Linked DNA regions of Callithrix jacchus. Each later gene encodes a partner of the first gene's protein in a complex. Links are inferred from orthologs where the notes say so. Each region holds a gene or a part of one and is shown in the gene's direction. Other genes may lie near its edges. The genes, in order: THOC1, SARNP and THOC7.

Region 1 (10,220 bases):
TCCGGAAAACTGAGGCCTGAGCTAAGATGTGCCATAAAAACTAAGGACAGTAGCCTAGTGCAATGGTGTATGCCTATAGTTCCAGCTATTTAGGAGACCAGGGCAGGAGGATCACTTGGGCCCAGGAGTTCAAGTTCAGCCTGGGCAACATAGCAAGACCCTTCTGTACTAAATACATACATACATATAGCTAAGGACAATGAAAACCCTTTGCTCAAGATACAAAGACATTTACAAAGAAACATTTGGGCCAGGCATGATGGCCTATGCCTGTAATCCCAACACTTTGTAAGGCCAAGACTGGAGGATTGCTTAAAGCCAGGAGTTCACAACAGCCTGGGCAACAAAGTGAGACTCTTGCTTTACAAAAAAATTAAAAGAAAAAAATTAGCTAGGCATTGTGACATATGTCTGTGGTCCTAGCTACTCAGGAGGCTGAGGCGAGGGAATTGCTTGAGTCCCCAATTTCAAGGCTGCAGTGAGCTATGATGGTGCCATCGCACTCCAACCTGAGAGCAGAGTGAGACCCTGTCTCTAAAAATAATAATAATGAAATGTTTGACGTATGACATAGTGTAAATGGTATAATTTTTTAAATAACCAAAGAAAAGTGGAACTAGATAGTATGTATTATGAAAGAAAGGGTACAATTGAGTGTGTTAGTTTTACTCTTAGCTCTGACACTAGCTGTGTAACCTTGTATAGGTAGTTTTAACTTTTCTGGACCTAGTTTCCTTAAGTATAATGTGAAGCAGTTAGCTTGAATCACATTAGATCCTTTCCACCCCTTATTCAGGGTCTTGTCGACTCCTATTTTCAATCCATTGTTTCTATTAAGAAAAATTTTTCAACAAAAATAAAATGAAGACCTAGTAAGCATTGCCTAGCCACTTTGGTTCATCTCTTTAAGCCAGGGGTTCACATCTCTACTCCAGATGTATTGAACTGTGTACTGTGGTCCTTCAAATAGGTCAGTCTCTTATTTGGCTCCCCTTCTTGCTCCCCCACCCCACTACCCCAACTCTCCACCTTTATCTTTATTCCTTGTTGAGAGTTTAGATGCTGCTTTCTTCAGGAAGCCTTCCTGAATTTGCTCGATATTGGAGCTTCTCATTTAATTAGCTGACACTGGAGAACAGCTTTTGTGGAGGAAACTGATATGTTTTACTTTGTTCATGAAATCTGATCGAGTGTGAGTTGAACACTGAAGTAGAAATGTGTAATAGCTTGTTGAGTATACAAATCTGGAGATTAGGAACAAGATCTAGGTTGAGAGTATAGTTGTAGGAGTTACCAGTTTATAAATGGTAATTCAAACTGTAGAGTGTATGAAATGAGCTAGTGGGGAGAGTGTAGATTGAGAAGAAAATATTGAATCAAATCCTGGAGAAAACTCATGGATAAGGGAGAATGGAGAAGAGCAGAAGATTGAAGAGTAACCAGTGAGATTAGAGGAAAAACTAGAAAAGCATGGACTTACAGAAGCCAAGCATATCAAGTAGGATGAGGTCAATAAAGAGTGTTCACAGGATTCAAAACAACAAATAAGTCATTGCTGATCTTGACAAAAACACTTGTTCTCCCCCTCCCTCCTGGACAAAATCTTGCTACCCACACTGGAGTGCAGTGGCACGATCTTGGTCACTGCAACCTTCGCCTCCCAGGTTTAAGCAATTCTCCTGCCTCAGCCTCCAGATTAGCTGGGACTACAGGCGAACACCACCACGCCCAGCTGATTTGTTGTAGTCTAGACCAGGAGTTGGCAGACTATATATATAGCCTACAGGCCAAATCTGGCCCACCATCTGTATTGATTTTTTTTGGTGGTTTTGGGATTTTTTTTTCCCCCTTACATTTTAGATTTTTTCTTTTTTTTTGAGACGGAGTTTTGTTCTTGTTACCCAGGCTGGAGTGCAATGGCGCGATCTTGGCTCACCGCAACCTCCGCCTCCTGGGTTCAGGCAGTTCTCCTGCCTCAGCCTCCTGAGTTACAGCCACATGTCACCATGCCCAGCTAATTTTTTGTATTTTTAGTAGAGACGGGATTTCACCATGTTGTCCAGGATGGTCTCGATCTTTCGTCCTAGTGATCCACCCGCCTCGGCCTCCCAAAGTGCTGGGATTACAGGTGTGAGCCACCACACCCGGCCACATTTTAGATTTTTAAATACCTACATGGTATCCATAATATGCCTCTTAGCCCACATAACCTTAATTAAAATATTTATTATTTGACACTTTAGGAAAAAGTTTGCTAACTCTTTAGACTAAAATAGGATGGGACTAATAGATAGGCAGAGAATAGATGGGTTAGGGGCCTTAAAGTCTCATTAAGATCCAAGTGTTAGGTATATTGGGAGCAACTGAGCAAGAGACTGGGAAGGATGGAGGCTGTGGTGAGATAGGATTGTGAGTTAAAGACTTCAGATCTGGGGCAGCTGTGAGTGACCCCAGGCCTAGCTGTGGCCACAGTAGTGGGTAGCTGGAGCAGAGAGATATGCCTGTTTGTGGAGTTGAGGGCAAGGAACTAACAGCCTAAGTGGAGACAGTCCAGTTGCCCAGAGCCTGGAGGAAGGGAAGGTTGATAGCCGGTCATTCACATCACCAATTTGGGATAGGAGAGCTAATATAAATAACAATCAAATATATTCAATCCTTAAAACTGAGGGAAACTTGACTGGAAGGCTGATCATTAATTATTTTCTTTAAAGACCTGGAGCTGAAGTGTGGAAGGGGTTGCCAGTGAATAAGAAGGCTTGTGTGTGTTAGGTGGCATTAGTAGGTGGTACCAAACCATGTAAAGCAGAGCCAGCGGAACTTGGGACATTGAACCAAAAACCAGTCACTGACGCTTCCAACTGCCTTACTGGTTTTTCATTTAGAAGAATGTGGCTTTCCTTTGTTGCTGTAGTTTTCGAAGGCAGAACTAGCATGAGAATGTGGATATAGACTAGCTTCCGTTCAGTGCTCCATGTGCATAATCAGAATGACCTTCCTTCAACACTGGAGATTATTCTTAGAGCTGGATGGCAGGGTCGCTGAAGAACTTCCCCAATGGCTTTCAGGTTCCTTTCTAATCCAGATTCTGTGATAATACAAGTATGATGCAATTTTCATTAAAAGCTAAAAGCAAAGCCCATCTAATCAGGGATGATTAGTTGCCTCTGTTGCAGGCACTTTGTAGGGCTGCAAAAATGAGTGGTACCCCTTGATATTGTGCTATTATCCATGCCTTCTTTAGCCATTATTTCTTCCTTCGTATGTAGGAAAGTAGTAGCCTCGGTTTTACTTTTTAATTTTATTTATTTATTTATTTGTTAAATTTAGAGTCCTGCTATGTTGCTCAGGCTGATCTCAAACTCCTGGGCTCAAGTGATCCTCCTCCTCAGCTTCCTAACAGGCTTGTGCCACCATGCCTAGCTTACTTTTTTATATTTTTGCCTTATTTTATCCTCATGTCAGGACCACAGATAGAGCATTGTTATACCAACATGAATACATCATGGCATAAAACAGTCAAGAAATCAAAATGAAACCTTGACTGGGCTGTCTGTGGGCTTGTGTGGTAATGCCTCCCATGCAGTGAACTCTCAAAAAATGTTTTTTAAATTGAATTGGAATCTTCCATTTCTATAGTAGCATATTTTGTTCCATCAGGCAAAACTTGATTTTAATGTGTTGTTTTTGTATGTGTTTGCTTGTTTCTTGAGTAGCTGATGGATTTACAACTGAGTGACAGTAACTTTCGTCGACACATCCTGTTGCAGTATCTCATTTTATTCCAATATCTCAAGGGGCAGGTCAAATTCAAAAGGTAAGATAAAATGGGTAGTAAACAATTTGTAAACAGTAGCCAAGAAAAAAAAGGACTTGCTTATGAAACGGACGTTTCATGTATAAGGGCTGCATCCCTAAAACACATGTATTGCAGCTGATTATTGAAGGCTTTTAGTTACGATATTTGTTTAAGGAAAAGATGTTAAATATGTCTTGTCAGTGTGAGTTTTTCCTGCCCAACTCCAGGGCTTACCAGGAGTTCTCGAGTCCAAACTTCATCATTCCCTTCTCACCTCCCTCAGACCGCCTCCAAAGCTGATTTGCAGACTAAACCAGTAATACATGTCTCATAAGGTGTGGAGCTGTGTAGGACATTTGAGCTAAAAGATGCAAAGGAAATCTTTAAGCAAAAGGAGTTCATTTCTTCGGAGTTTCACAAAACCTCATTAGACTGTCTGCTGTCTAAATCCCTCCATCCATATCCTTCTGTCTTGTCCATAAATGAAAGTACAGCTCACTATTACTTGACAGTATTTGTGTTAAGGACACTGAGCAATGCAGTATTAGTTATATAATGACTTTACTACCTGCTGGGTTTGCATCCTAGGCTTATCATTTGCTGGCTGTAGTACAGCTCTTTCACACTTGTAATTTTAAGGTACTAGCACATGGTAAACACTCAAAAAATGTTATTTCTTATCCTATCTATTTTGGATGTTTGGTGTGGCATAGTAGAAAGATCAAGGACTTTGGAGTCAGACCTAGGTTTGAATTAAAGCTTTATGGCCTTGAGCAAATCATTGAGCCACCATAGTCTGTTTAATACGTACTTGTATTTGTTCTGAGAATTCAGTGAATAATGCATGTAAAGTGTTCAGATCCCAGCTATCAATATTTATAGGATGGCTTTAAATCACTAGTGCATAATGAGTTCTCAATTAATGGCAGCTGGTAACAATATGGGTTTGCCTGTTACCTTTCCTAGGGTTTGGGTGTTTTTATTTGTTGTATTTTGAATGTATCTTAAAGGAATGTAGCATGCCAGACTGAATGTGCATTATGTATACAAATATCTTAATATCAAATCAGAGGTTTTCATTTCACATTCAGCTTATTTTAGGAAACATTTATTGCTCTGTTCATAGCTAATCTGATGGATTAATTGAATGTTTTATTCTCCTGCACATGCTTTTATGTTTTCAGTACCAACTTCTTGAGGAATAAATGCAAGAATTTTCTCTTATAATCCTCTCATTTGTGACTATGTTTATCTTGGTAATGTTTGACACTATCCACAGCATATTACATGTTACATGCCTTCTGTTTTTTAAACCTTAAAATTGAATATGCATTGCTCTAACTCAAGCATGCTTTCATTGCTTTGTTCCCTAGTTCAAACTATGTTTTAACTGATGAACAATCACTTTGGATTGAAGATACTACAAAATCAGTTTATCAAGTAAGTTCAACACGCAACAAACCCATGATTGAAAAAATGGAAATTTAGAATTTTCTTTGTTTCAGCCCCAAATAGGAAAATAAGGATAAAGTTAAGCTCAGGTACAAGACCACAAACACTCCTTGGTTCTCTGCCTACAAACCACTCCTATGATGCAGAAAGTTGTTGAAAGCTTAGTATATTCTTTCTAATCACAGCTACTATCTGAAAACCCCCCCGATGGAGAAAGATTTTCAAAGATGGTAGAGGTATGTGATTTTTATGTTTACATCCTCTTTTTAGCACGAAAGAGAATTTCAGAGGATTCCATTAACCAAAATAGAATTTGTTTTTCCCAGCATATATTAAACACTGAAGAAAACTGGAACTCATGGAAAAATGAAGGTTGCCCAAGTTTTGTGAAAGAAAGGTAAATACATACTCATCACAAGAACTATATATAAGAAAGGCTTTTCAAAGTATGCTTTGATATGATTATAGCATGTAAAGATATGTATATATATTTCATATAAAAAATGTAAGTTGAACTCTGTAAGAGTACAATCACTTTGATGTACCTCTGTTTGTATTTTTTTTAACCTCAAAAACTTCTTGTCATTAAGTTCCTAGAGCAAACATCTATATAAATTATTGAGAAGACTGTATATATATTCTGTGTAATTTGCCCTATAATGTGGCATTTTTGTCTTATTTCTGATAATTGTTCTATCAGAAACATGAAGTTTTCATCTTTTGTTTTGAGATGGGAATCTCGCTCTGTCACCCAGGCTGGAGTGCAGTGGTGCGATCTTGGCTCACTGTAACCTCCACTTCCCAGGTTCAAGCAATTCTCATGCCTCAGCCTCATGAGTAGCTGGGATTGCAGGCATGCACCACCATGGCTAGCTGATTTTTGTATTTTTAGTAGAGACAGGGTTTTACATGTTGTCTAGGCTGGTCTTGAACTCCTGAACTCAGGTGATCCACCCACCTCAGCCTTCCAAAGTGCTGGGATTATAGGTGTAAGCCACTGTGCCCAGCCAGTTTTCATCTTTTTTAGGAGGAAAACAATAACTAAATTTTCTTTTACATTAAACATTCTTCTATTTCTGCTATCCATTTGTAATTCAAAAAATAGTGTATGTTTTGTTCACCACAGAACATCAGATACCAAACCTACGAGAATAATTCGGAAGAGAACAGCACCCGAGGATTTCCTAGGGAAAGGACCCAGCAAAAAAATTCTGATGGGAAAGTAGGTGAACTTGCCTTTATGTGGGATGTTCTTATTTTTGTATTTTAAAGATGTTACTGTAAGAATTCTCCATCTCTTAACATCAAATGGCTATGCCACTTTTTTCCATTTCACAGACAGTAGAATTGTTTAGACTGATGCAGCTCACTTCTAGTTGCTGCAAGATATCATAATCCTTGAGTTCTCTTACCTTCCAGTTAAAATTCAAATTCATTGCTTTATATTATGCTTGAATATTTTTAGGAAACAACCTAAAGATTATATCATTATTAGTCAGAATTATAATAGATAATAATATGCTTATATAGAGAATAATTTTAGGTATTGTAAATACCAGAAATCATTGAGAAAAGTAAAACTCATACTATCAACATCCCAAATCTGTTGTTTGCATTGTATTGTTTTTCTATTCAGTTTCAAGGCACATGAGGATGGTGTCCATAAAAAATGTATTTATTTGTGTATCTGTTTTGTAGTGAGGAGTTAACAAGGCTTTGGAATCTTTGTCCTGATAATATGGAAGCCTGCAAATCAGAAACAAGGCAAGTTGAACATTTTTCACATGAAGTGTTGCTTTTGTCAAGTGCTGAGTAGAATGGAACCTTTTCTCAGCTATGAAAAGAGCTCAAACAAAATTTAAGTTTTTTGTGGTTGACTTTGGCACAGTAGAATATAGCTTCCCACCATAAAACACCTAGAAGTTCTGATAAAATAATTTTAGAAATACAAAAAAATAAAGATTCACAAAAGGAATCAAAACAAATAGAAGAGTAAGCCTATGAACTGATACGGTTCTGTGGGAGCAACACTAATGATTCCAAGCTTTGAGAACCAGGGAACTTGGGTTTTAATAATCACAGAAAGGACAGAAAGGCCTTAGGCCTGCACAAATTTGTGAGCAAGTTTTCCCCTGAACAAAGCTGAAATTTTTGAAGCACTACACATCTGTAAAAGAAGGGCAGGGTGGGGGCACGCTCACTGGCACAGGAAACAAGGAAGCTTATCTGCCTTTACCAAGGTGTAGGTGACAGGGAAAGTATTCCCTGAGAAATTGTAACCATAAGTCTGCTCTCAGGCAGTGTTAACAGTTTAAATTTTTCCTACCAGCAGTAGGAAAAATCCTACCTCAAGCTAAGATAGTGAGCTAGAAAGTCCCATGCTGGCAATAAAAATCTTTCTGAAGGTCCAATCTTCAACCCAAACTAAACAAGATTCCCACAGATAAATATCTAAAGTTATATTCACAAGGTTATTAAAAAAAATAAAACCCAAAGATAAATTCACCATCCAAACTTTAAAAACTCTCAGGGAAACAGTCCACCATGAGCAAGAATTGGCAGACAGAACAAGCAACAGAAGTTGGCCACTTTAGATAATAAAATCATAAGATAAAGGGTGTAAAATAAGTATATTTCAGAAAATTAAAATAAGAAGGAATTGAAAACACAGGGACATGACACTATCAAAAAGGACAAGGCAAATTTGAAAAACAAGTAATACTTCTAAAAACGAGAAAATATAGCAAAATGGACAGGTTTAATAGCAGTCTAGACACAGGTAATGTAAGAATTAATGGGTCAATACATGAATAAGAACTCACCCAGAAAGCAATACAGAAGGAGCAGAGTTAGAAACAATGACTTAATGATAGTTGAGGAGGTCCAGCAAACATCTAATGGCAGAGAGAAGTAATAGATAATGTGAAAGAGGCAGAATTGAGTTAATGATTGAAGATAGGCTTGAATTCATAGGATCAAGAAATGTAATACTTAAGGAGGATAAACCAAGTAAATCCGTATCTCTGTACATGAAGTCAACAACCAAAAAAACCTACAAAGGAACAAAGTTAAACTAACAGTTGACTTCAAGAACAACAAAAGAAATCAGAAGACAGTGGGATGAGTGCTTAAAAATGTCTTTCCCATGCTCTATTACTTCTTTTTGCCATTAGATGTTTGTTGGACCTCCTTAACTATCATTAACTCATCATTTCCAACTCTTGCTCCTTCTGTATTGCTTTCTGGGTGATTTCTTAATTATTAATTAATCCATTAATTCTTACTTTACCTATGTCTAGTCTGTTATTAAATCTGCCCATTTTGTAAATTCAAGGACTATATTTTCTCATTTCTAGAATTATTACTTGCTTTTTCAACATTTCAACTCCAAATTCTGTAACAAGTTAAACAGGTGTAGTTGACTGAGTAATTGACTAAAACTGTGAGAAATTATCAACAGTCCCTAGTAAGAAAGCTGTCTTAAGGAAACTGAACCCAGAAAGGAGTAAATTATGGAGAGGATTACTATGTAAACACTTTGGTAAACATGAAGAAATCTTATCAAGAATTCACTGTATGAAATAGTAATAATTATTATTTGGGGTTATTTTAAAAGGTAAACTTGCTAAAGGTGACATGTTAAGACAAAAAGGAGTAGTCAGAATTTTAAAATGTTAGGGTTTAAGTCAAGCATGCTTGAAAAGTATGTGAGATAAATGGAATATGTAATTTTTAAATAAATTGAGGGGTTAAAAAAGGTAAATACAGAAAATTTAAGCAAGTAAAATTAAGCAAGTAGGAGAGGAGAAAAGCACAGAAAACAACAAAGTACAAAACAGTATGGTTAAATTTAAATATAAATGGAAATGGACTCTCTGGCTCAAAGACAGAAATTGGTGTTATATTTTAAAGATCCATCTATATGTTTATAAGAAATATACTTTAAAAATAAAGATGTAGAAAGGTTGAAACAAATAATTTTTAAAAGATATTTTTTAAAGGCATAGTTATATTGATATCAGGCAGAAAAGGCTTAAAAGTGGAAAGCATTATTAAAAATAAAGGCAATCATTGCCTAAAGATAAAAGGAAAAAATAGAAATATATACATTCTAAACTTTATTTTCCAAGAATATATTCTCAAAACCTTGACAGAATTAGAATGAGAAGTTGACCTAGGGTCAGTTTTAACCATCCACCACCCAGAAGACCCACCATCTAGTAGAATTTTGACAGACCTTTCACAGAATTTAATAAATTTGGTAGAAAAAATTTGGTGTTAATACATTTAGAATTTAACAAAATAATTTAAATTTAACAGGCTGCGTCTTACAGAAATCACAAGTTTATGTAAATGATATGGGAATAGCAAAAGCAAAAATACTTTAATTTTCTTTAAACACACTTCTAAATAACCCTTGAATCAAAGAAGAATCATAATGGAAATTAGAAAATCTAGTGCTAAATGACAATGAAAACACTACATGTTCAGACTTTGAGATCTAGAACACAGAACACAGAAGAGAAATGTATAGCCTTGTTTTACACTTTCAAAAAGAATGAAATCTGAAAACCAAGCTAAGTAAGAGTCTAGCAATGAGAGTCACTCAGAAGAGAAGTAAACTCATAGAAAGTAGAAAGTAAGGGCTGGGCGCGGTGGCTCAAGCCTGTAATCCCAGCACTTTGGGAGGCCAAGGCGGGTGGATCACGAGGTCGAGAGATCGAGACCATCCTGGTCAACATGGTGAAACCCTGTCTCTACTAAAAATACAAAAAATTAGCTGGGCATGGTGGCGCGTGCCTGTAATCCCAGCTACTCGGGAGGCTGAGGCAGGATTATTGCCTGAACCCGGGAGGCGGAGGTTGCGGTGAGCTGAGATCGCGCCATTGCACTCCAGCCTGGGTAACGAGCAAAACTCCGTCTCAAAAAAAAAAAATACCCAGATTCTGTAAGAATTGTGAATAAAAATAAT
Region 2 (10,320 bases), on another chromosome or scaffold:
TTGTGGGTCAATCACCCAATTTCAGGCTGTTTTCTGCAAGGATGGCCAAAATTAATCATTTTTAAAAAGTTGATTCATGCCCACTGCCCTTGGGTGAGGGGGAAGGATACGGGGGTTCCCAGAAACCCCCCTTGTTATCCAAGGGTTTGTATTTTTTTTAAGTTTGTTCATATTTGTATGTACATATCTATTTAAAGCCAGGGGATTATCTTTCTATAAATGTATAACTGGCAACCTGTATCTTCCCTCTTTTTTGCCCATACAGCTGGAGCCCTTTTTCTCATTTGAGAATCTGTTCCCTACTAAGTGTTAAGCTCAGAGTGAAGAGCACCTCTTACTGGACCAAAGTAGAGGGGATTGGAGAATTGCTTTAAGTTTTTTACTTTAGGTCAGTATTCCATCTTCCCCCGTCCCCGCCAGCCTTATGAGGACAGCTCTCTACCCTTCCTGCTGATTAAACTGCAGGCATAGCTGAAAAAAATTATTAGAAGAAAAATACACAGCAAAACAGAGCTGGAAGGTAGTAGGTGCAGAAGATATGGAAAGATGTAATCACCAAACAAACTGCCCAAATGGCTTCCTGCTATGGAGGAGAGTGATCTGGCCCTTACCTCACCCGGTAAAGAAACTTGCCGCTAACAGGACTGGACCTAGGAGTCCCATTTGCCAATCTCTTCTTTTCTTGGGAGTCTGGGAAAGGTTGCATAGTTCTCAGGCTTTCAAGATGTAGAAGATGGTATGGAGAAGAGAAAGATTTTTTTTATACTCCTCTGTTTCAGTGCCTTCCCCATGCCCATGGAGCTGTCCCAAAACCCATCCCTCAGTATTTATTGATGCCGAAGACACGAACCCCATGGAACTGGGGCAACTTTGGCAGCAGTACACTGAGCAATGAGGCTGTGTTGATGAGGAAGTGTGCAGCATCATACTTGGTATAGAAGCTGGCCAGGAGATAGCTGGGGAGAGAAAAACATAGGGTGAGTGAGGGTAGCCTTCTCTATATGTTTTTTTTTAAGAGGCAGTTCTCACTATGTTTCCCAGGTTGTAGTGCAGTGGCCATTCATAAATGTGATAAGTGCAGTACAACCTCAAACTCCTGGGCTTAAACAATCTTTCTGCCATAGCCTCCTAAGTAGTTGGGACTCCAGGCATGCACTGCAGTGCCCTGTTCTTTCTCTTCTATTTAAAATGACCAGTTTTATTGTATGTAGTCCTAAATTATCTTAAAAATATTCCAGCTATATCAATAGCGTTTACTCTGGGGTTCATAGTACCTTTAACTGGAGACTATAAGTCAGTTTCTGTTCATTGTTAATGACATGGCAAATGACAGCTGAGGCTAGTTCAGTCTGTGTGACTGTTAAGAGTCTTCTTTGCTTCCACTCCCTACAGTGTTTTTGAAGATTAATATCAGTTCTGCCTTTATTTGCTTCTTTTGGCAGTGTAAAATCATTTGGTTTTACTTGGCTCTTATCTTAGTCCCTTCATTTCCTTACTACCAAGGAGGCAGTAAGGAATGCTTGATTACAGTATTGTCTTCTACATTTTATTGCTCTCTGTAGGCTTAGAACTAGTATATCATAATATCTTCAAAGGGTTTTAGATGGGTAGCCTGCTTTTTAACAGCTTCCCTATGGGCCTTTCTGCCTGGCTCTTGGAACTCTTTCTAACCCAGCATATCCCCATTTCCCTCATAGACTCACAGCACAATAGGAGAGATGCTCAGGAACTTGCGAGAAGAGGTAAACTGGAGCCCATAGTCCATTTGTTCCCAGTGTGTCAGTAGCCGAGCCTTTCCTTGGTCAGGAGTCTCAAAGGGTGTCCCTTTCACCGTATGAAGGAAGATATACATAGCCTGGGAACATGGAGGGTGGTAGTGTGAGGGGCAGAAAGTAGTTCTTCAGTCCAAGAATGATGTTAAGATCCCAAAAGGAAGATACAAATCCCCAAACAATTAGTAATTTTATTTTGCTTGTGGTTGGGAAACTCTGGGATGGGCACAAGGGCATGGTTTACTGCTCACCAGGTTGTGGATGACGTTGGTCAGGGTCCAGACAACAGGAATGCTGAAGAAAGGGATGCTGAGTAGAACCATATGTAGCAGTCCTACCAAGATGACGTAGGCCAGCCAGATGCCTCGGCTATTCATCACTCGAGTGTTGGGGTTTACTTCGCTGTGTGCCACCCCCACATTCATCCTAGTCATAATGGGGGATCAGGTAGGGTCCAACTCATTTTTTTCTCAGCCCCTCTTCGAGCTTTCTCCCAGCTGTCTCTCAGATTCCCTGAACTCTATTGGGAATGAAGAACTTCCCCATCACGCAGAAAATAAAAACTGAAGACTTGGGGAAAACTTTAAAAGGCAAGAAGAATCCTCACTACATTTTAGAGACATAGTCATTTTCTCACTGATCTTTACGTTTCAACTGTAACATGAAGGTGTATGCGTAGGCTTGGGGCACTCACTTCAGGGAGCAAGGGAAACAGGAAATCTCACTTTCCTGAAGAAGTTAACCATGAAGAGGTCACGCACACCCAGAATTCCAGGAGAAAGTCATGGAATCATCAAAGAACCACTAAGAAGGGATGACAGAGTAAAGCTCTAGTCCCAACCTGTTCTCTGGGGCTTGTCCACCCTGTCTCACCTCCGTGGCATGTCAGCAGTCAGCATCCCCACTGCTTCTCTCAAGCGTGGGGCACGACAACAACTTGCCCACGCCTTCTGGACTGGGTTAGGAAGGAACCTGAGCTCAACGTTTCGAGAGATGGAGCCTTAGCTCTGACTCCAGGGGCGGCAGTGATCAACTGAACTCGGATCTTTAAAATTGTGGTAGCTCTAAAGCTGATGATGTCTGGTTAGGAAGCGGCTCTTGCCCGCCCCAGCCACCCGCCAGTTCCTTAAGCCCGCCCCATTCCCTCCCAGCTTCCTCCTCTCATGTTCGTCGGTTTTTTTCAGGGCTCCCTTCAGCATTCGTTTCTCAGCATTTAAGTCACCGCTTCCTCGGCGCCCCTTTCGCCTCCCACCATATTTCCTTAGCAACCTTTCTAGTCCTCGCGGCCCCTACCTGCCAGCTTCAGATCCCTGTCTGCTTATGGGCGAGGCGCCGGCTACCACATCTGAAGTCTCCAGGAAGTGACTCCTCTCCGTCTGCCCCTTCCCTATTGGAGGAACATAATCAGCGGTTGGTGATATGTGATGCAGACGCACAATTGGTTGCCATTTCTGTCGTTCGTAAGATAAGTGCCCGCCCCTCTCTCTGTCCCCCCTTTTGAAAGAGGTGGGGAAAGCTGCCGAGAGACATGAGGGACGTCAGCTATTGACCAATGGGAAGAGCTGATGGTATGTAGTGGGAGCAAGAGTGGCAACGATTGGTCAGCCTTGCATCTCTACGCCTAAGGCGGGAGCTCCTGGAGGCGGAGGCAGCGGGTGGGGGCTTAGCGGAGTGAGGGGTAACAAGATGGCGACCGAGACGGTGGAGCTCCATAAGCTGAAGGTACCGTAAATCGGGGAAGGGCTCAGTTGGACTTTTCTGGGAACTGAATTCTGCACAGTGACTTGCGTCTTCTCCTACGTGTTCTCCTTGCAGCCTTTTCTACTTTGTTTCTTGGCTCCCGCCGTAGCTCTTTTGTGCCACCCTTCCACACTACGCCTTCCCTAATTTTCCATTTCTCCTCACGGTTTTACTGCTATATTTTTTTGTTATTTCTGTTCCCTTCATCCTTGTATCGTCCGTCACCCTTGTCCACCAGGTTGTAAGTGCCTTCTACCTGTTATACTCCTCGTTGCTCTTCTGGTCTGCATTACGTCAGTTGGTCCCTCCTCTTTGCCCCACGTCGGACCCAGGATCCCTTTTTCTTCCCTGGAATTATGTTTCCAGTCTGTCTTCTGAAGCTGAGACTCGCCTATTATATTAGCAGATGGTGGCATTTTTGTGTGTCGCTATTTGAATAGATCCCAGACACTCCCCTTTTCTAGGTGGGATTACGCCACCAGGGAGAATTTTGAAACCAGGGAAAGGCCTCACCTTAGAAGCCTGGGGTTGAGGAGGCCTTGAGATAGAAGTACAGACACCTCAGATTTAAAAGTTTTCCAGTTCTCTCACGCGGTTCTCCACTTGCCAGCCTTCCTCACACACCGTCTCCTACCACCAGAGAGAATTCATACCTGCAGTATTTGGGAAAAACAGTTCCAAGGTTAAGATTATCTCTGTTCCATTTCATATCTCAATGGGCTCTGCATCTCCTGGTGTTTTACCATTGGGTGACACTGAATCACAGAAGCTATTTTAAATTGTCTTATGAGAATCTTGGTAGTTTTCTCATACTTGGATTATTATTTTCCTGAAAGAGAGAGTATTTATTTAAGGTAGATTGCAAACAACTAAGAGAGATAAAAAAGTTAAAAAATATATTAAAAAGAAAATTTCAAAGAGTATTTTCTTTTAGGGTAAACTAATCTTGATTAATTCTCTGTGGTTTCACAGGTAGATTTCCTATTGGATGTTTTGGACAAACCAGGCTGATACAGCTGAAACTGAAAAGTGATCCTTTAAAGCTTGAAGTGTTTTTTTGTTTGTTTTTGTTGTTAAGAAAGCTTAAGGGTAGGGAGAGGACCTTTGTTTAGTCACTTATTAGTTGACCCCTATTAGTCTTTCTGTGAAAGCTGATATTTTTCTTACTCTTGGATTCTAAACTCTGTTTAGTGGGTTTTTGTGTTATTCTCAAGTTATTGTTAACTTGGTGGTACTGAAATGCATAGACTATCAGTGGTTTCCTGATAATTATTGTGATGAGTAAAAGAAAAATTGAGCAATAATCTCCACTTGGTGTATATATACTGTACTTATAGAAATTGTATGCTTCTGTACCATTATAAAACATAGAAAAGGAATTTTTGAATGAGACAAAAAGGAACTATGCATAGAAGACTTAATATTTTCTTTCTATTTGTCTTTTTTTTTTTTTTTTTTTTGAGACAAAGTCTCACTGTGTAGCCCAGGCTGGAGAGTGCAGTGGTGGAGTCTCAGCTCACTGCTCCCTCCACCTCCCAGGTTCAAGCGATTCTCCTGCCTCAGCCTCCTGAGCGGCTGGGACTACAGGCATGTGCTACTATGCCTGGCTAATTTTTATATTTTTAGTGAGATGGGGTTTCACCATATTGGCCAGGCTGGTGTCGAACTCCTGACCTTGTGATATGCCCACCTTGGCCTCCCGAAGTTCTGGGATTACAGGCATGAGCCACCACACTATTTATCCTATTTTTGAAATCCCTGGAGTAAGTCACCAGCTGCCCCATGACTTACTTGTTTTTATAATTGTGTTTGTTTATGGAGTTCCTCCTTCCATCAAATCTGTGTTTGTCAGATCTATATTAAACTTGTATTTGACTGGATAAGTAACTTTTACATAAAGTCCTCTGACCTGATTTCAGTGTTGCAGTCTAAGAAAACATTAGGCACTCCTGACAGCCTAAAAAGGACTCACTCTTTAATCACATTTGCTTGTCTTTGCTTTTTCTCTAGAGCACTTCTTAACCTTTTGGAGGTCACAGATATCTTTGAAACTCTGATGAAAGGTATGGACCCTCTCTCGCCAGAAAAAGGCATGTACACGTACTTTGCATGCAGTTTGAGGGGCTTCATAAAACTACCTTGTAGCCCTGAGGAGTCCATGGACCTCTGGTTAAGAACTCATGCCTTCGACCAGGCATGGTGGCTCATGCCTATAATCCTAGCACTTTGGGAGACTGAGATGGGTGGATTGCTTGAGGCCAGGAGTTGGAGACCAGCCTGGGCAACATGGCGAAACCCCACCTCTACTCAAAATGCAAAAATTAGCCAGGCATGGTAGTGCGTGTCTGTAGTTCCAGCTACTGGGAAGGCTGAGGCACAAGAATCGCATGAGCCCCGGGGTGGAGGTTGCAATGAGCCTGGATTGTGCCACTGCTCTCCAGCCTGGCGGACAGTGAGACTCTGTCTCAAAAAGAAAAAAAGAACTCATGCCTTTGATTCTGATATTTAGGACGTTTATGTTTGGTTCCACTGGTGATCTTGATGTAATGATCCTGACTTCTAGGTTGACTTGAGGTTTTATTGCCTTTAAAAAAAAATCTTGGCTGGGTGCAGTGATCCATACTTGTAATCCCAGCACTTTGGGAGGCTGAGGCCAGGAGTTTGAGACTAGCTTAGGCAACATAGTGAGACCCTGTCTCTACAAAATATTAAAAAATTAGCTGGGCATGGTGGCGCACACTTGTAGTTTCAGAGCAGTGACTGACACCTGTCATCCCAACATTTTGGGAGGCTGAGGCCAGGAGTTCGAGACTAGCTTAGGTAACAATAGTGCGACCCTGTCTCTGCAAAAGATTAAAAAATTAGCTGGGCATAGTGGTGCACACCTGTAGTCCCAGCTCCTTGCAAAGCTAAGGTGGGAGGATCACTTGAACCTGGGAGGTTGAGGCTGCAGTGAGCTGTGTGATGATTGCTCCGCTGCACATCAGCCTGGGTGACAGAAGGAGACCTTGTCTCAAAAAAAAAAGAAGAAAAAGAAAAAAAATCTGTCCATTGTCATTAAGAGAATTTTGGGCTTTGGTATGGAACCTCAGAGGAATGGAATATGCTTTGAAGTAGGAAGGAAACATAGTATCATGTATCTGAATTGATACATGACATCATTTTAGCAGCAAATTCCTGAGAATTTTGTAGAAACCCAGTCTTTTTTTTTAATTGAGATGGAGCCCTGCTCTGTCGCCCAGGCTGGAGTGCAGTAGCTTGATCTCAGCTCACTGTAACCTCCACCTCCCAAGTTTAGTGCCTCAGCCTCCCTAGTAGCTGGGATTATAGGCATGTGCCTCCATGCCAAGCTAATTTTTGTATTTTTAATAGAGATGGGGTTTCACCATGTTGTTGGCCCGGCTGGTCTCAAACTCCTGACCTCTGGATTATAGGTGTGAGCCACTGTGCCTGGCCCATTCTAACACAATTGGAAAGAGAGATTGAACTGTGGGTGAAAATGCCTTGAACTGTAACAGTATCAGATTTCCAGTCAAATATCAGAAAAAAAAAAGTATTGAAGAGGGGAGGAGAGCTGTAGTAATGTCAGAGTGCTGAAAACAGTGAGACATTTGTATTGAATAGTAAAATGAGTAAATATGTTGGTAGTTGAAGATAGTTTGGAAAGGAAAATAGGTAAACTAACCATAAAGGTAAATCAGAGTGGTATTGAAAAGGGCTTTCTAAGTTGTGTAAGGATTTCTGACCCTTGTCATGTAATGATAAGTAGGGCTGGGACCCTTTGGAAGTTTGAAAGGAGGAACTTAGGGGCCGGGTGCAGTGGCTCACGCCTGTAATCCCGGCACTTTGGGAGGCCGAGGTGGGTGGATCACGAGGTCATCAGATCGAGACCGTCCTGATCAATATGGTGAAATCCCTTCTCTACTAAAAATACAAAAAATTGGCTGGGCGTGGTGGCGCGTGCCTGTAATCCCAGTTACTCAGGAGGCTGAGGCAGGAGAATTGCCTGAACCCAGGAGGCGGAGGTTGCTGTGAGCCGAGATCGCGCCATTGCACTCCAGCCTGCGTAACAAGAGCGAAACTCCGTCTCAAAAAAAAAAAAGAAAGGAGGAACTTGATGTGATCAGTTTGTTTTCTTGGCAGATAGGATCTGTTGCGGGAGTGATTTCATCACTTAGATGTTTATTATAGAAGCCATTCCCTTGCTTAAAACCCTTAAATTATATCCCTGCCAGTCTCTTCAGGATAGTTACTCATACTTCAACTACTGCAGCCTTTTTTATTTTATTTCTTCAGGATGGGTATCTTCATTAATTACTAACACTTAGCATTTATTATGTGGCAAAACACTGTTTGAAGCCATTTATATACATTAACTGGTTTAATTCTCATAATAATCGTATAAGGTTAATACCTCTATTATCCTCATTTGAAAATACGAAAAATGGATCTGATCATTGATTGCCTTGTTCCCTACAAGATTGTAAGCTCTGTATGAGAAAGGACTCTGTTTTGCTCATGATTATTTCCTTGTATCCAAGGTAATACTAGACACACAGTAGGTGCTCAATAACTATTTGTCAATTGAATAACTATATCAAGATTTCAAAAGAATTGGAATGAATTTGAATGACATTTAAGATGTAGAATATATTAGTATATAGATCAGTTAGCTACGGAAAGAATGAAAGGTGACTTTAGGGTTTGGGCAGTGATACCTTTAATCTGGGTTGGGAGGAGGAGAAGCCAGTTTTGAGCAGAAGAGATGTCAGGTAGTCAGTTGGAAATGTGGGTCTTTCACTCGAGCTGAAAGCTGATGATGAAGACTTGGGATTTATTCAGAAAATAAGGAGCACTTGCCATGTCCCAGTTACTGTGGGTGCTAGGGACATAGCAGTGAACAATACAGACAAAATCCTTGCTCTCATAATGCTTGTATTTTACTGAGGGAAGGCAAAATAAAAAGTACAATGTATGGTATGTCAAATGGTGATAAGGCAAATAGAGAAAAATAGGAGATGGGGAAATACAGTGGGAAGGGTATTGTAATTTTAAGTAGGGTGACTAGGGAAGGCCTCATTAAGAAGGAGATGATTATACAAAGAGTTGAAGGAGGTGAAGGAATGAGCTATGTCCAAAGCGTTAGAGGAATAGCACAAGACCAGTTTGGCTTATCAGAGTGAGCAATGGTAATAAGGTAATGATAGGGGAGGGACAAACCCGCAGGGCCTTGTAGGTGATAGGATTCAGCCTTTTACCCTTAGTGAGATAGGAAACCAGTGGATGATGTTTGACTAGAGTGACATGTTCTGACTTGAAGTTTCAGAAGATCGCTCTGCTACTTTGTTGAGAATAAACTGTGGTGAGGCAAGGGCTGAAGAGTTTTGACGATAATCTGTATGAAAGAAAGACGGGAGTAGTAGCATTTGCAGTGGTGAGAAGGGATTTGATTCTGGATATATTTTAAAGATAATGCTGATAGACTTTGCCGCTAATTGAGATCAGGAAGTGAATTAGCTTTTGATGTAAGTAGAATGAGAAGAGGCCCAAAGAAGGAATCTTAGTGAATATTTGCAGGTTTGGGTGGAAGAAGAGCTAGCAAGGAGGCTGTGGAGGAGAGAGTGAAAGAAAGAAGTGCTGGCCAGACGCGGTGGCTTACACCTGTAATCCCAGCACTTTGGGAGGCCGAGGCAGGCAGATCACAAGGTCAGGAGATCAAGACCATCCTGGCTAGCATGGTGAAACCCTGTCTCTACTAAAAGTACAAAAGAAATTAGCCGGGCATGGTGGTACGCACCTGGATTCTCAGCTACTGGGGAGGCTGAGGCAGGAGAATTGCTCAAATCCAGGAGGTGGAGGTTGCAGTGAGCTGAGATCACGCCACTGCACTCCAGCCTGGGCAACAGAGCGAGACTCCATCTCAAAAAAATAAAAAGAAGTGCCAAGACTTTGGCAGTTAATATTGTGCATAAATCAGAATCACTCAAGCTGGCATATTGGCCTACTGTTTACAAGCTTTTTTTTTTTTTTTTTGGTGACAAGATCTTGCTTTTTCTCCCAGGCTGAAGTGCAGTGGCACAATCAGGTGTCACTGCAGCCTCAAGTCTTCCTGGACTCAAGTGATCCACCTCAGCCCCTGCTCCCAACTACCACACCTGAACTGTCTGTTAATTTTTTTTTTTCTTCAGACAGAGTCGCCCAGGCTGGAGTGCGGTGGCACGATCTCAGCTCACTGCAAACCTCTGCCTCCCAGGTTCAAGCATTTCTCCTGACTCAGCCTCCTGAGTACCAGAGATTATAGGTGTGTGCCACCATGTCCAGCTAATTTTTTGTATTTTTAGTAGAGACGGGGTTTCACTGTGTTAGCCAGGATGGTCTCAGTCTCCTCACCTCATGATCTGCCTGCCTTGGCTTCCCAAAGTGCTGAGATTACAGGCGTGAACCACCGCACCCGGCTCTAATTATTAAATTTTCTGTAGAGGTGGAGTCTTCCTGTGTTTCCTAGGCTGGGCTCAAACTCCTGACTTCGAGCAATCCTCCCATCTCAGCCTCCCAAACTGCTGGAATTACAGGCATGAGCCATTGCACCTGGCCAGCTGTGTGATATTTAAGCCAGTTATTGAATTTCTTTAAGCCTAATCATAATACCAACCAGTAGGTTCCTTGTAAGGATTTTGAATTCCTTTCATACATGTTATAGGCGATAGAAAACATCTCTGCCGTCAAAGAATTTACAAACTATAAGTTGACATAACATGGAAAAGATTTCTAATAAAATATTTTAATCAAAATCTGGCCAGGTCTGGTG
Region 3 (10,220 bases), on another chromosome or scaffold:
CTATTAATATTTATTTTCTGCATTTTAATCTCTTCAAGGACTGTTTTTTTGTTTTGTTTTGTTTTGTTTCATTTTTGAGATGGAATCTTGCTCTGTCGCCCAGGCTGGAGTGCAATGGCACGATCTCTGCTCACCGCACCATCCGCCTCCTGGGTTCAAGCAATTCTCCTGTCTCAGCCCCCCGTGTAGCCAGGATTACAGGCATTTGCCACCATGCCCAACTAATTTTTTTGTATTTTTAGTATAGACGGGGTTTCACCATGTTGGCCAGGCTGGTCTCGAACTCCTGGCCTCGTGATCTGCCTGCCTTGGTTGGACTCGCAAAGTGCTGGGATCAGGCATAAGCCCCTGCGCCCATCCAGGACTGTTTTATTTGTCTCAATCTCTTCATATAATATTGTTGGTGATTAAAAAACTGAAAGCATTAGTTTGTATTTTTATAATGTAAAAGTAAAACACTTGATGAATATGTAGCTTGAGCAGTCTGCCAAAGCCATGACTCTGAGAACCAAACCCAATTCTAAAAATGCTTATTTGATGTTATCTCAGAATATATTTTAAAACTGGAGCCATCTGCCTTCCAAAGTTTATCTCCACTGCACCTGTGCTCAAAAATACTTCTGCCTACACACAGGAACTATTGTTTAAAGATTTTGCTGTTATTTCAATATGCAGGCTCTCTAGGAATTATTCACACTTTAAAATTTATTTTTTAAAAATAATGAGGCTGGGCACAGTGGCTCACGCCTGTAATCCCAGCACTTTGGGAGTCCAAGGCAGGCAGATCATGAGGTCAGGAGATGGAGACCATCCTGGCCAACATGGTGAAGATACATCTTTACTAAGATACAAAAAATTAGCCAGACCTGGTGGTGCGTGCCTGTAGTCCCAGCTACTTGGGAAGCAGAGGCAGGGGAATCACTTGAATACAGAAGGCGGAGACTGCAGTGAGCCGAGGTCACGCCACTGCACTCCAGCCTGGCGACAGAGTGAGACTCCATCTCCAAAAATAATAATACAGTATTTTATAAAATAACGAATGCATACTGTAAAAAAAAAAGAGAGAGAAATCCCCAAGTTCTACTAAGACATGCAGGCAAATTATATCTTTTCCCACCTCTATCTGTAGTCCGTTTTATTAGAAATAAACACTATTACAAGTTTCTTGAGGATCCATCCAAGGATAGTCTCTGAATACACACATGCACATGCACACACTCCTTTTTTCGCACATATGGCAACATATTGTATATGCTTCTCTGCGCCTGTTTTGTTTTCATTTTACCTAACATCTAAGGAGAGTTTTCTGGTATCAGTATATATATCTGCACTATTTTTTTTGGCTCATACTATTATATTATGTGAATGTTTTATCATTTAACCAGTTTCTTATTGATGAATAGGTTTTCAATCTTTCTACTACAAACAGGACCACTAAGAACCCCTTTATTTCTGTCTTTGTGCATGGGTGAAAATATAGGAAAATTTCTAGAATTGGAATTAAGGGTCAGGAAGATATGTGCGTTTTTAATTTTGTTACTGTTCAGTGGCCCTACAAAGAATTACCAGTTTATATTTTACCAGTATATAAAAGTACAGTTTTCTGGCTGGGCACGGTAGCTCACACTTGTAATCCCAGCACTTGGGGAGGCTGAGGTGGGCAGATTGCAAGGTCAGGAGTTCAAGACCAGCCTGGCCAATATGGTAAAACCCCATCTCTACTAAAAATACAAAACTTAGTTGGGCATGGTGTCAGGCGCCTGTAGTTCCAGCTACTGGGGAGGCTGAGGCCGGAGAATTGCTTGAACCCAAGAGGTAGTAGTAGCAGTGAGCTGAGATCGTGCCACTGCACTCTACCCTGAGCCACTCTACCCTGGGCGACAGAGTAAGACTGTTTTAAAAAAAAAAAGTGCAGTTTTCTAACACCTTTCCCAACAGTTTTATCAGATGTTTTGATTTTTGCTTATCTATTAGGTGAAAAATTATATTTTACTGTGGTTTTAATTTGCCTTGCTCTTGTTATGATCCAGGATTATTTCGTCTGGGTAAGAACACTAGCTCAGGACTGCCAGGCAGATAGATTGGGACCTCACTTGTTGGTCATCATTGTCATCTACACTGCTTTTTTTTTTTTCTTTTCCTTGGGGCAAAAGTATTGTTTAAAAAAAATTCTCATGGGGAAAGAAACCTTACAGATAACTAAATATATATGTAATACATACATATGTATATAATATGTATATATATAATACATGTATATAATATGTATGTATTATATATAATATGCATTATATTATACATATTTATATTTGTATAAATAATATATTATATAAATAATGTATTATATAGTAAATAATATATGTTATATATAAAATAATATAAATATTTGTAAATTATAATATAAATATATAATATGTTTATATATTTATAATATATGATATATATAGTATTTGTTTTGGAAACAGCATCTTGCTTTGTTGCCTATAGGCGCTGGAGTGCAGTGGTGAGATCATGCCTCACTGCAGCCTTGATCTCCTAGGCTCAAGTGATCCTCCTTCCTCAACCTCCCAAGTTACTGGGCCTAATAGGCACGTGCCACCACATCCAGCTGATTTTTGTTTTTTGTAGAGTCAGAGTCTTACTGTGTTGCTAAGGCTGGTCTGGAACTCCTTGGCTCAAGTGATACTCCTACCTCAGCCTCCCAAACTGTTGAGGTTACAGGCATGAGCCACCACACCCAGCCTTAAATTATATGTTTATTTAACAAATTCATTCCTTTTTCCCTGACCTATTCTTTTTTCCTAGTTTGCCACTACATCTTTTAAATATTTCTTGTCTATTCATTTTATCAGTGCCTTTCACTGGCCAGAGACATAAATATTTGGATTTCTGTCTGTCTGGGCAAATTGTTTCACAAAAGTTTTCTAAGAATTATTGGCTTATTTCCTTGATTGTATCTGAAAATTATTTCCACTCAACAACCCAGTAGACTGCCAACTCTGTAAGGATGTCTTTTCACTGCTATTATTTCAGCCCCTAGAACAGTACCTGACACACGGTAGTCATGCAATAACGTTTTTTTCCATTACTATATAAATATTTTTATTATATGCAATATAAAACATGCATAACATAAAATTTACCATTTTAGCTAGCCATTTTTAAGTGTACAGTTCAGTGGCATTAAATACATTTGCATTTCAATAATTTTCTTTTGAATAAACAATTGAACAGTGATATTGGTTATTTGTATTTGAAAGTTACCAAGAGCCAGATGGTAGCATTGCTCTTCTTTCCTGCAGACGAAGTCATACGGAAGCGTCTCCTCATTGATGGAGATGGTGCTGGAGATGATCGGAGAATTAATCTGCTAGTGAAGAGTTTCATTAAATGGTGCAACTCTGGGTCCCAGGAAGAAGGGTATTTTATTTCACTGTTGTTTCTATACCCATGTCCTAATGTGATTTTAGACCATACATTAAGGTCCTGTGAATAGATCAAATTTTTATTCACCTTAAATGTCCAGTGGAGTCAACTCTTAATTAAGAGTAGATTTTCTTGGCCTTTTCTTTTCTTCAGAGGCCTCCCATATGTTTAATAAACATAGAGAAGGCAGATTGGTAAGGAGAAATGAAGATTAAATTCAGACCCATTAGGATATAAGTGTTTAATAAGTATATGTATGTAGTAAGTTGGCACAAAAGTAATCATGGTTTTTGCCAATATCTTTAAGTTTTGCACCAACTTGATACATACACACACACACACACAAAATCTTTTTTTTTTTTGACGCAGAGTCTCATTCTATTGCTGAGGCTGGAGTGCCATTGTGCAGTCTCAGCTCACTGCAACCTCTGCCTCTCAGGTTCAAGCAGTACAAGTGCCTCAGCCTCCCGAGTTGCTGGGATTATAGGCATGCACCACCATGCCTGACTAATTTTTGTATTTTTAGTAGAGATGGGATTTCACCATGTTGGCCAGGCTGATGTTGAACTCCTGGCTTCAAGTAATCTGCCCACCTTGACTTCCTAAAATGCCAGAATTACAGGCATGAGCTACCATGCCCAACTGTATGTATGTATTTGTGTGTGTGTGTGTGTGTGTGTATATATATATATATATATATATATATATATATATAGTAAACTTTGCTTTTCACATAAATAATTTTATAGAGTAAATTCTGGAGACAGAATTGTGAAGATAAAAAATTCATAATGTATTTTAAACAAAATGCAAATAATTATTTGAATAAAGCATACACTGATAAGAACAACAGTCTCATCTTTGCATGTGTAACTAGTTTATAAATTCAGGTGTGCTACATTTGATAAAAAGAAAACTTAAGGAACAGATATTCTGAATTATTTTAAATAAGCAAATGACTCTCAAAGAACTTATTTAATTAGCAAATATTTGCCTGCATTATAATAGTTCAGTTTTGTCAGTCTACAAACATCTTTATTTTGGTTTTCTCTCTTTCTCATTAGATATAGCCAGTACCAGCGTATGCTGAGCACACTGTCTCAATGTGAATTTTCAATGGGCAAAACTTTACTAGTATATGATATGAATCTCAGAGAAATGGAAAATTATGAAAAAATTTACAAGGAAATAGGTAAAGAATATTAATGTTTCTATCTGTAATTTTATTTTGTATGGTATAAAGGAAACAATATCTGCTAACAATTTTCTTTGGTTGGTGGTAAAAGAATAATAATTACAGTATTAATAGAAAGAATACAGCAAATGTTAGCTACAAAAATATGCATTCTAATATATGGTACTTTAATACTAGTGTCTATTTTGTTAGCAATAGAATTTAATTTATAAATGCATTTTAAAATTGAACATGGATTATTGATATTGTTACAACTAAGTTTTAAAACCTTCTTATATAGAATGTAGCATTGCTGGAGCACATGAAAAAATTGCTGAGTGCAAAAAGCAAATTCTTCAAGCAAAACGAATACGAAAAAATCGCCAAGGTAAGAGTTTTGAGGGATTTAATATGCAAATACTTTATTACTGACTACTATTTTCATGCAATTTTTAATGTTGTGAGGAAAAATCTTCAGCAGCCTGAATCAACCTGGATTTTTAAAAATTATCCAAATTTAATTCTTTAAAACTATGTTATTCTTTAAAATAGAGAAAGAAGTCTGTGTTGAAAAAAATGTTTTTGCTGGATTACACTGATTATCCAAGTATTTCTTTTCTGTTTTTCTCCTTTTGTTTTTTTCTTTTCCCAGTATTTCTTAAGCATTAAATTTTTACCATCTTGGAGCTTTTTGCCTAAATAATGTAATAGTTAATCAGCAGAGGCAATTTACATAAATACACTAGATATATGATTTGGGTTTTTTTGTTTGTTTGCTTAATAGAGCTACTTTCCAAAAAATGAATGAAAAAGAATTTAAACTCTGTGAGTTTTCATTAACTATGAAGCAAGCAAATATTTATAGACTATCTAGAATATCTAATAAGAAAGTTAAAGTTGAGTTTTGTTATAATCTCTTGTTAAGTTAGAGTATGTTCTTATGTAGTTCCTAAATGCTGTTTCCAGATAATTTTTAATGTTAGAGGCACTACTCCTATAATATAAATTGAAGAAAAGCAAAAATAAAAATCATAATTTATAATCACAACTGTTACACTGATAGGAAAAACTAGAAGAAAATAGAAAATGTTAGTGGTTATTTTGAAGTGGTGGGTTTTTATGGCTTAGGTTTTCTCTGGTTTTGTTTTGTTTTATTTTACACAGGACATGTATTCTTTTGTAATTCAAAAAAATTGTATTTAAAAAAATCATACTTTTATTGAATTAATAGCATCAGTTCTAAAACAATGAATTGTACTTTTTAATTAACTAGTTAAGATGAAGATTAATTTCCTCTTTTTAAAAGTTTATTTTTTCAGTCTAAAATGTGTGTGGTGAAGTTTTAGTGCCCTATTTACAGTAAGATATACCAACTTAGTATCAGTTCTAAAGTCATTTAAAAATATTTTGCAGTGTTTTTGTTAGTTAATGAGACTTTTAAGTAAATCTTGTCATTCATCACTTCAGAAGAAAGGTTAACAGGAGTTACATGACTTATCTTGGAGGTCTCAGTGGAGCAGAAAGTAGAACTTGAATTTTAAGTTATTTGTAAGTTTCTGAAATCTTAACTTTTAGAATGAGTGAGAAGTGTAATTTGCTGTTGACTAACATCTCAAATTAATGGATGGATATATTCACTGATTTTCTTCTTTTTTTTTTTGGACAACTAGTGAGTAAGATCCTTCTCAGAATCAGTCTATTTGATAATCAGTAATAACTTAAGTTCACTTATTTTTATGCTGACCTCTTATGTTCTGTCCAGAACATATAAATGGAAAAAAAGTGCTGAAGTTTAGGGAGCTAAAATCCCTGTTTAGAACACTTTTGATGTTATGTGTCATTATAGTTATAACTCAGTCAACTAGAACTGGCAATACTCATCTTTCAATGATTTCATTTCTTGATGTACTAGGGAAGTGGTTAGGAGAGGCTTGTGATATTACACATTTTGTTTTGATAAGCCCTTAGTTTGATAAACATTTTTATGTCTTTCAGAATATGATGCTTTGGCAAAAGTGATCCAGCATCATCCAGACAGGCATGAGACATTAAAGTAAGTGTAGAGCTTTACTTTGAAAGGAACTAACCTTTATACATAAATGCTGATACACTACCCTAGGCATTTCATTTTTGCAGAAATAAATATGTTTCAAAAGGAGGGTTCAGGTCTTCGATATTATATTTCCCAATACTTCTCTGTTAGATTTTATTTTCCTCTGACCTTACCACCTATATGTCTAAAATAAATGCATGTAATATGGACAAATAGAGTGGACAAATAAAATGTGGTCTTCATATATTAAAATATTAAATATCAGTTAAAAAGAATAAACTAGGCCGGGCGCGGTGGCTCACGCCTGTGATACCAGCATTTTGGGAGGCTGAGGCGGGGGAATCATGAGGTCGAGAAATCGAGACCATCCTGGTCAACATGGTGAAACCCCGTCTCTACTAAAAATACAAAAAAATTAGCTGGGCACAGTGGCGCGTGCCTGTAATCCCAGCTACTTGGGAGGCTGAGATGGGAGAATTGCCTGAACCCAAGAGGCGGAGGTTGCGGTGAGCTGAGATCACGCCATTGCACTCCAGCCTGGGTAACAAGAGCGAAACTCCGTCTCAAAAAAAAAAAAAAGAATAAACTAGTTTTGTACTGTTCAAACACACTCCTCAAAACATAATCAGTGAAAAAACATAATAAATTTAAAATTATTATTAAATTTCTGAAACACATATAGAATAATAACAATTTATAAAAGTTAGAACCCCCTTTCAAATATTATATACCAATACTGTATATTATTCAGTGATACAGGTATATGTGTAAAAATGGATTAGAATGATATAGTGGTTGCCTGAGTGGGAGGTAGAGGAGATAAAAAGGCCCAGGATAGAGGACTAGGGGTAAGGTTCAAAGGGTATTTCAAGTTAATTGGCAATGTTTTATTTCTTTTACAAAAAAAAGACCCTTGAAGTTAAGCTCTACAATATGTATCATTTCTTGGGTCTTGTTATTCTATTATCTGTATTTTTCTGTACTTTAAAAATTTATCAGAAAGTGTAATTTTAATTAAAGTAAGTCCATATTTAAAAGTTAAGAAGAAATCATTTTTAAAAGTCTCACCATAATGGAGTGTTATAACTCCTTATAAGTTTTTTTTTCAATTTTATTTTAAAAATTCTATCTAGTAACTAATAAGTTAGTTATTAATTGTAAATTTTTTGCCCCATTCAGCAAAATGTAACACTGTTTTATTATTTCCAGGGAACTAGAAGCTCTGGGAAAAGAATTAGAGCATCTTTCACATATTAAAGAAAGTGTCGAAGATAAGGTATTTGCATAGATATTTAGCCTTTGTGATTTATCTGTCTATCTATAAATAGATCATCATATATATCTATATATATATAGATCATCATTTGTATAAATTTTTTTCTTGTTAACACAGCTGGAATTGAGACGGAAACAGTTTCATGTTCTTCTTAGTACCATCCATGAACTTCAGCAAACATTGGAAAGTAAGTAGAAATAGTCTCAAAATAAATGTTTATGAAGATTTTTTAAATGAGTCAGGGATGTTCCTTTTGAAATATGTATCTTGGAGAGAGAATATGCCTTCAATTTCTTAACAGTATAGCTGGATGACATTAGAAGATACTCATGTTCAACTTTCTTGAATATGTATAGAAAAGTCTTAATTTGTACTAATACAGGATTTAAAGATATATCTAGTGGTTTAAATTAAGAAAAATTGAAGGATGATAGATTTGGAGTTTTTCTTGGTTCACTGTAGTAGATTACTATAAGGTAACAACTCAGGACCCAGGCAGGCAATAATAAGCAATCAGTACCTAAGAATATTTGCATACCCACTGAGTGCTGGGTGCTTTAGGGAACTGGAGACTTGCTCTTTATATCCCTGTAGACAGCTGGAAATTCTATGTTACCTGACCTTCTGATTGTTTTTCAAGAACAGCCTAAGACCCATTTTTTTTTTTTTTTTTTTTTTAAGGCAATCGTGCTCTGTCATCCAGGCTGGAGTACAGTGGTGCAGTCTTGGCTCACTGCAATCCCAACCTCGCGGGTTCAAGTGATTCTCATGCCTCAGCCTCCCGAGTAGCTGGAATTATAGGCACATGCCATCATAGCCAGCTAATTTTTGTTTTTTTAGTAGAGATGGGGTTTTACCATGTTGGCCAGGCTGGTCTCAACCTCCTGACTTCAGGTCATCCACCTGCCTTGGCCTCCCAAAGTGCTGGGATTACAGGCTTGAGCCACCACACCTGCCTAGATTTTTTTTTTAAGTGAAATCTATCACATAAATTTTACAGTTTGATTCAATTAGTAGCCATCTTTGCTTTAATTGTATTGGTTAATAAAGGATAAACATGTTTTCATATGTTCATTAAATATAAAATGTAGGCAAACTCGACTAAGCTTTTATGTTTCCTTCTCAATTACAGATGATGAAAAACTCTCAGAGGTAGAAGAAGCTCAGGACGCAAGCATGGAAACAGATCCTAAGCCATAGATAGGCTAATTGCCCACCATTCCCAGGAATATTGAAATAGCTGCATGAACATAATGTGTTTAAAATGTGGTGTGCTCTTGAGATATTTAAAGTTTTGGCAGTACCATATGCTGTTTTGAAATATGAATGTACATTTCATTCATATTTCCTTACACAAAGGAAAATGACTTTAGTATAGATTTTTTTATTAAAAGGCATTTTTTATTCTTAAAAGGTAGGAAGCAACATCGAAATATGCTTAATAAAATGCTTTTAAGCTGGATATGTTTGTGCTCGTTAATATTCTAGGTAGTTTTTAACTGGTTACATTGATTGGTTTACAAAATAAGTTGAAGATTGTTAGAAGTTGGCATTTCTAGGATGTACATGGGAAAATGGGCCAATTTCTAGAAATAATCACACTTCTGAAAACAGAGTCTATGAAGAGGCTTTAGGAGGGCCATGAACCTGTGAAATTACATGCAAAATGTTTGTGGCATATGCTTATTATGGGGAAAGGTTTCATGCTGTTAAAAGTCACTGGCATGAGAGGTAATTATAAGATGCAAAGTAAAATAATATGCCTTGCTTTCTATATCTCTCTTCTTAATATGTGAATAATATGATTCTTGTTTTGTTGATCTGTTTTCTCTATTGTTTTGTTCTTTAGTAATCATTTTCAATAGAAAAGAATATATTGGTAAAATGAAGGGTTGTTTGAAGTAAATAGTTTGTTAAGATTGTCTTACATAGGCCGGCTGTGGTGGCTCACACCTGTAATCCCAGCACTTTGGGAGGCCGAGGTGGGGTTGGTCACCTGAGGTCAGGAGTTCAAGACCAGCCTGACCAGTATGGAGAAACCCCGTCTCTACTAAAAAGAAAAATACAAAATTAGCCGGATATGGTGGCGCATGCTTGTAATCCCAGCTACTCAGGAGTCTGAGGCAGGAGAATTGCTTGAACCCAGGAGGTGGAGGTTGTGGTGAGTTAAGATCACGCCATTGCACTCTAGCCTGGGCAACAAGAGCAAAACTCCATCTCAAACAAAAAAAAAAATGATTGTCTTACATAAAGAATTTATAATTTTTTTTAAGTTAAGCTAAGGCTGAATC

What was found.
Region 2: THOC1 (region 1) and SARNP share a complex: the UniProt entries of both Homo sapiens proteins name them as parts of the transcription/export (TREX) complex. The link is inferred for Callithrix jacchus from reciprocal best matches to the Homo sapiens genes THOC1 and SARNP.
Region 3: the proteins of THOC1 (region 1) and THOC7 are in contact, whole or in part, in a cryo-EM structure (PDB 7APK), measured with the Homo sapiens proteins. The link is inferred for Callithrix jacchus from reciprocal best matches to the Homo sapiens genes THOC1 and THOC7. Residues at the interface, in NP_005122.2 of Homo sapiens: Leu10, Arg14, Glu46, Gln53, Arg56, Glu60, Ile63, Ile64, Asp99, Asp102, Cys103, Leu104, Pro105, Arg146, Gln151; in NP_079351.2 of Homo sapiens: Tyr47, Gln51, Leu54, Ser55, Ser58, Gln59, Phe62, Gly65, Lys66, Leu69, Val70, Met73, Arg76, Glu77, Asn80, Ile84, Ile88.

The regions. Positions count from the first base shown.
Region 1 is NC_133514.1:63,801,333-63,811,552, forward strand, and holds part of THOC1 (THO complex subunit 1), read left to right. Parts: intron 1-3,713; coding exon 3,714-3,814; intron 3,815-5,169; coding exon 5,170-5,236; intron 5,237-5,433; coding exon 5,434-5,484; intron 5,485-5,574; coding exon 5,575-5,645; intron 5,646-6,353; coding exon 6,354-6,470; intron 6,471-6,946; coding exon 6,947-7,012; intron 7,013-10,220. UniProt on the Homo sapiens protein: Component of the THO subcomplex of the TREX complex which is thought to couple mRNA transcription, processing and nuclear export, and which specifically associates with spliced mRNA and not with unspliced pre-mRNA.
Region 2 is NC_133510.1:63,832,149-63,842,468, forward strand, and holds the start of SARNP (SAP domain-containing ribonucleoprotein), read left to right. Parts: upstream 1-3,445; 5' UTR 3,446-3,458; coding exon of another isoform or gene 3,459-3,494; intron 3,495-5,522; 5' UTR 5,523-5,568; coding exon of another isoform or gene 5,569-5,575; exon of another isoform or gene 5,576-5,602; intron 5,603-10,320. Other genes in the region: ORMDL2 (ORM1-like protein 2), read right to left, coding at 821-956, 1,704-1,855, 2,024-2,197. UniProt on the Homo sapiens protein: Binds both single-stranded and double-stranded DNA with higher affinity for the single-stranded form. Specifically binds to scaffold/matrix attachment region DNA. Also binds single-stranded RNA. Enhances RNA unwinding activity of DDX39A.
Region 3 is NC_133516.1:45,607,048-45,617,267, reverse strand, and holds the end of THOC7 (THO complex subunit 7), read left to right. Parts: intron 1-3,302; coding exon 3,303-3,420; intron 3,421-4,490; coding exon 4,491-4,618; intron 4,619-4,901; coding exon 4,902-4,988; intron 4,989-6,595; coding exon 6,596-6,653; intron 6,654-7,862; coding exon 7,863-7,929; intron 7,930-8,046; coding exon 8,047-8,116; intron 8,117-9,061; coding exon 9,062-9,129; 3' UTR 9,130-9,391; downstream 9,392-10,220. UniProt on the Homo sapiens protein: Component of the THO subcomplex of the TREX complex which is thought to couple mRNA transcription, processing and nuclear export, and which specifically associates with spliced mRNA and not with unspliced pre-mRNA.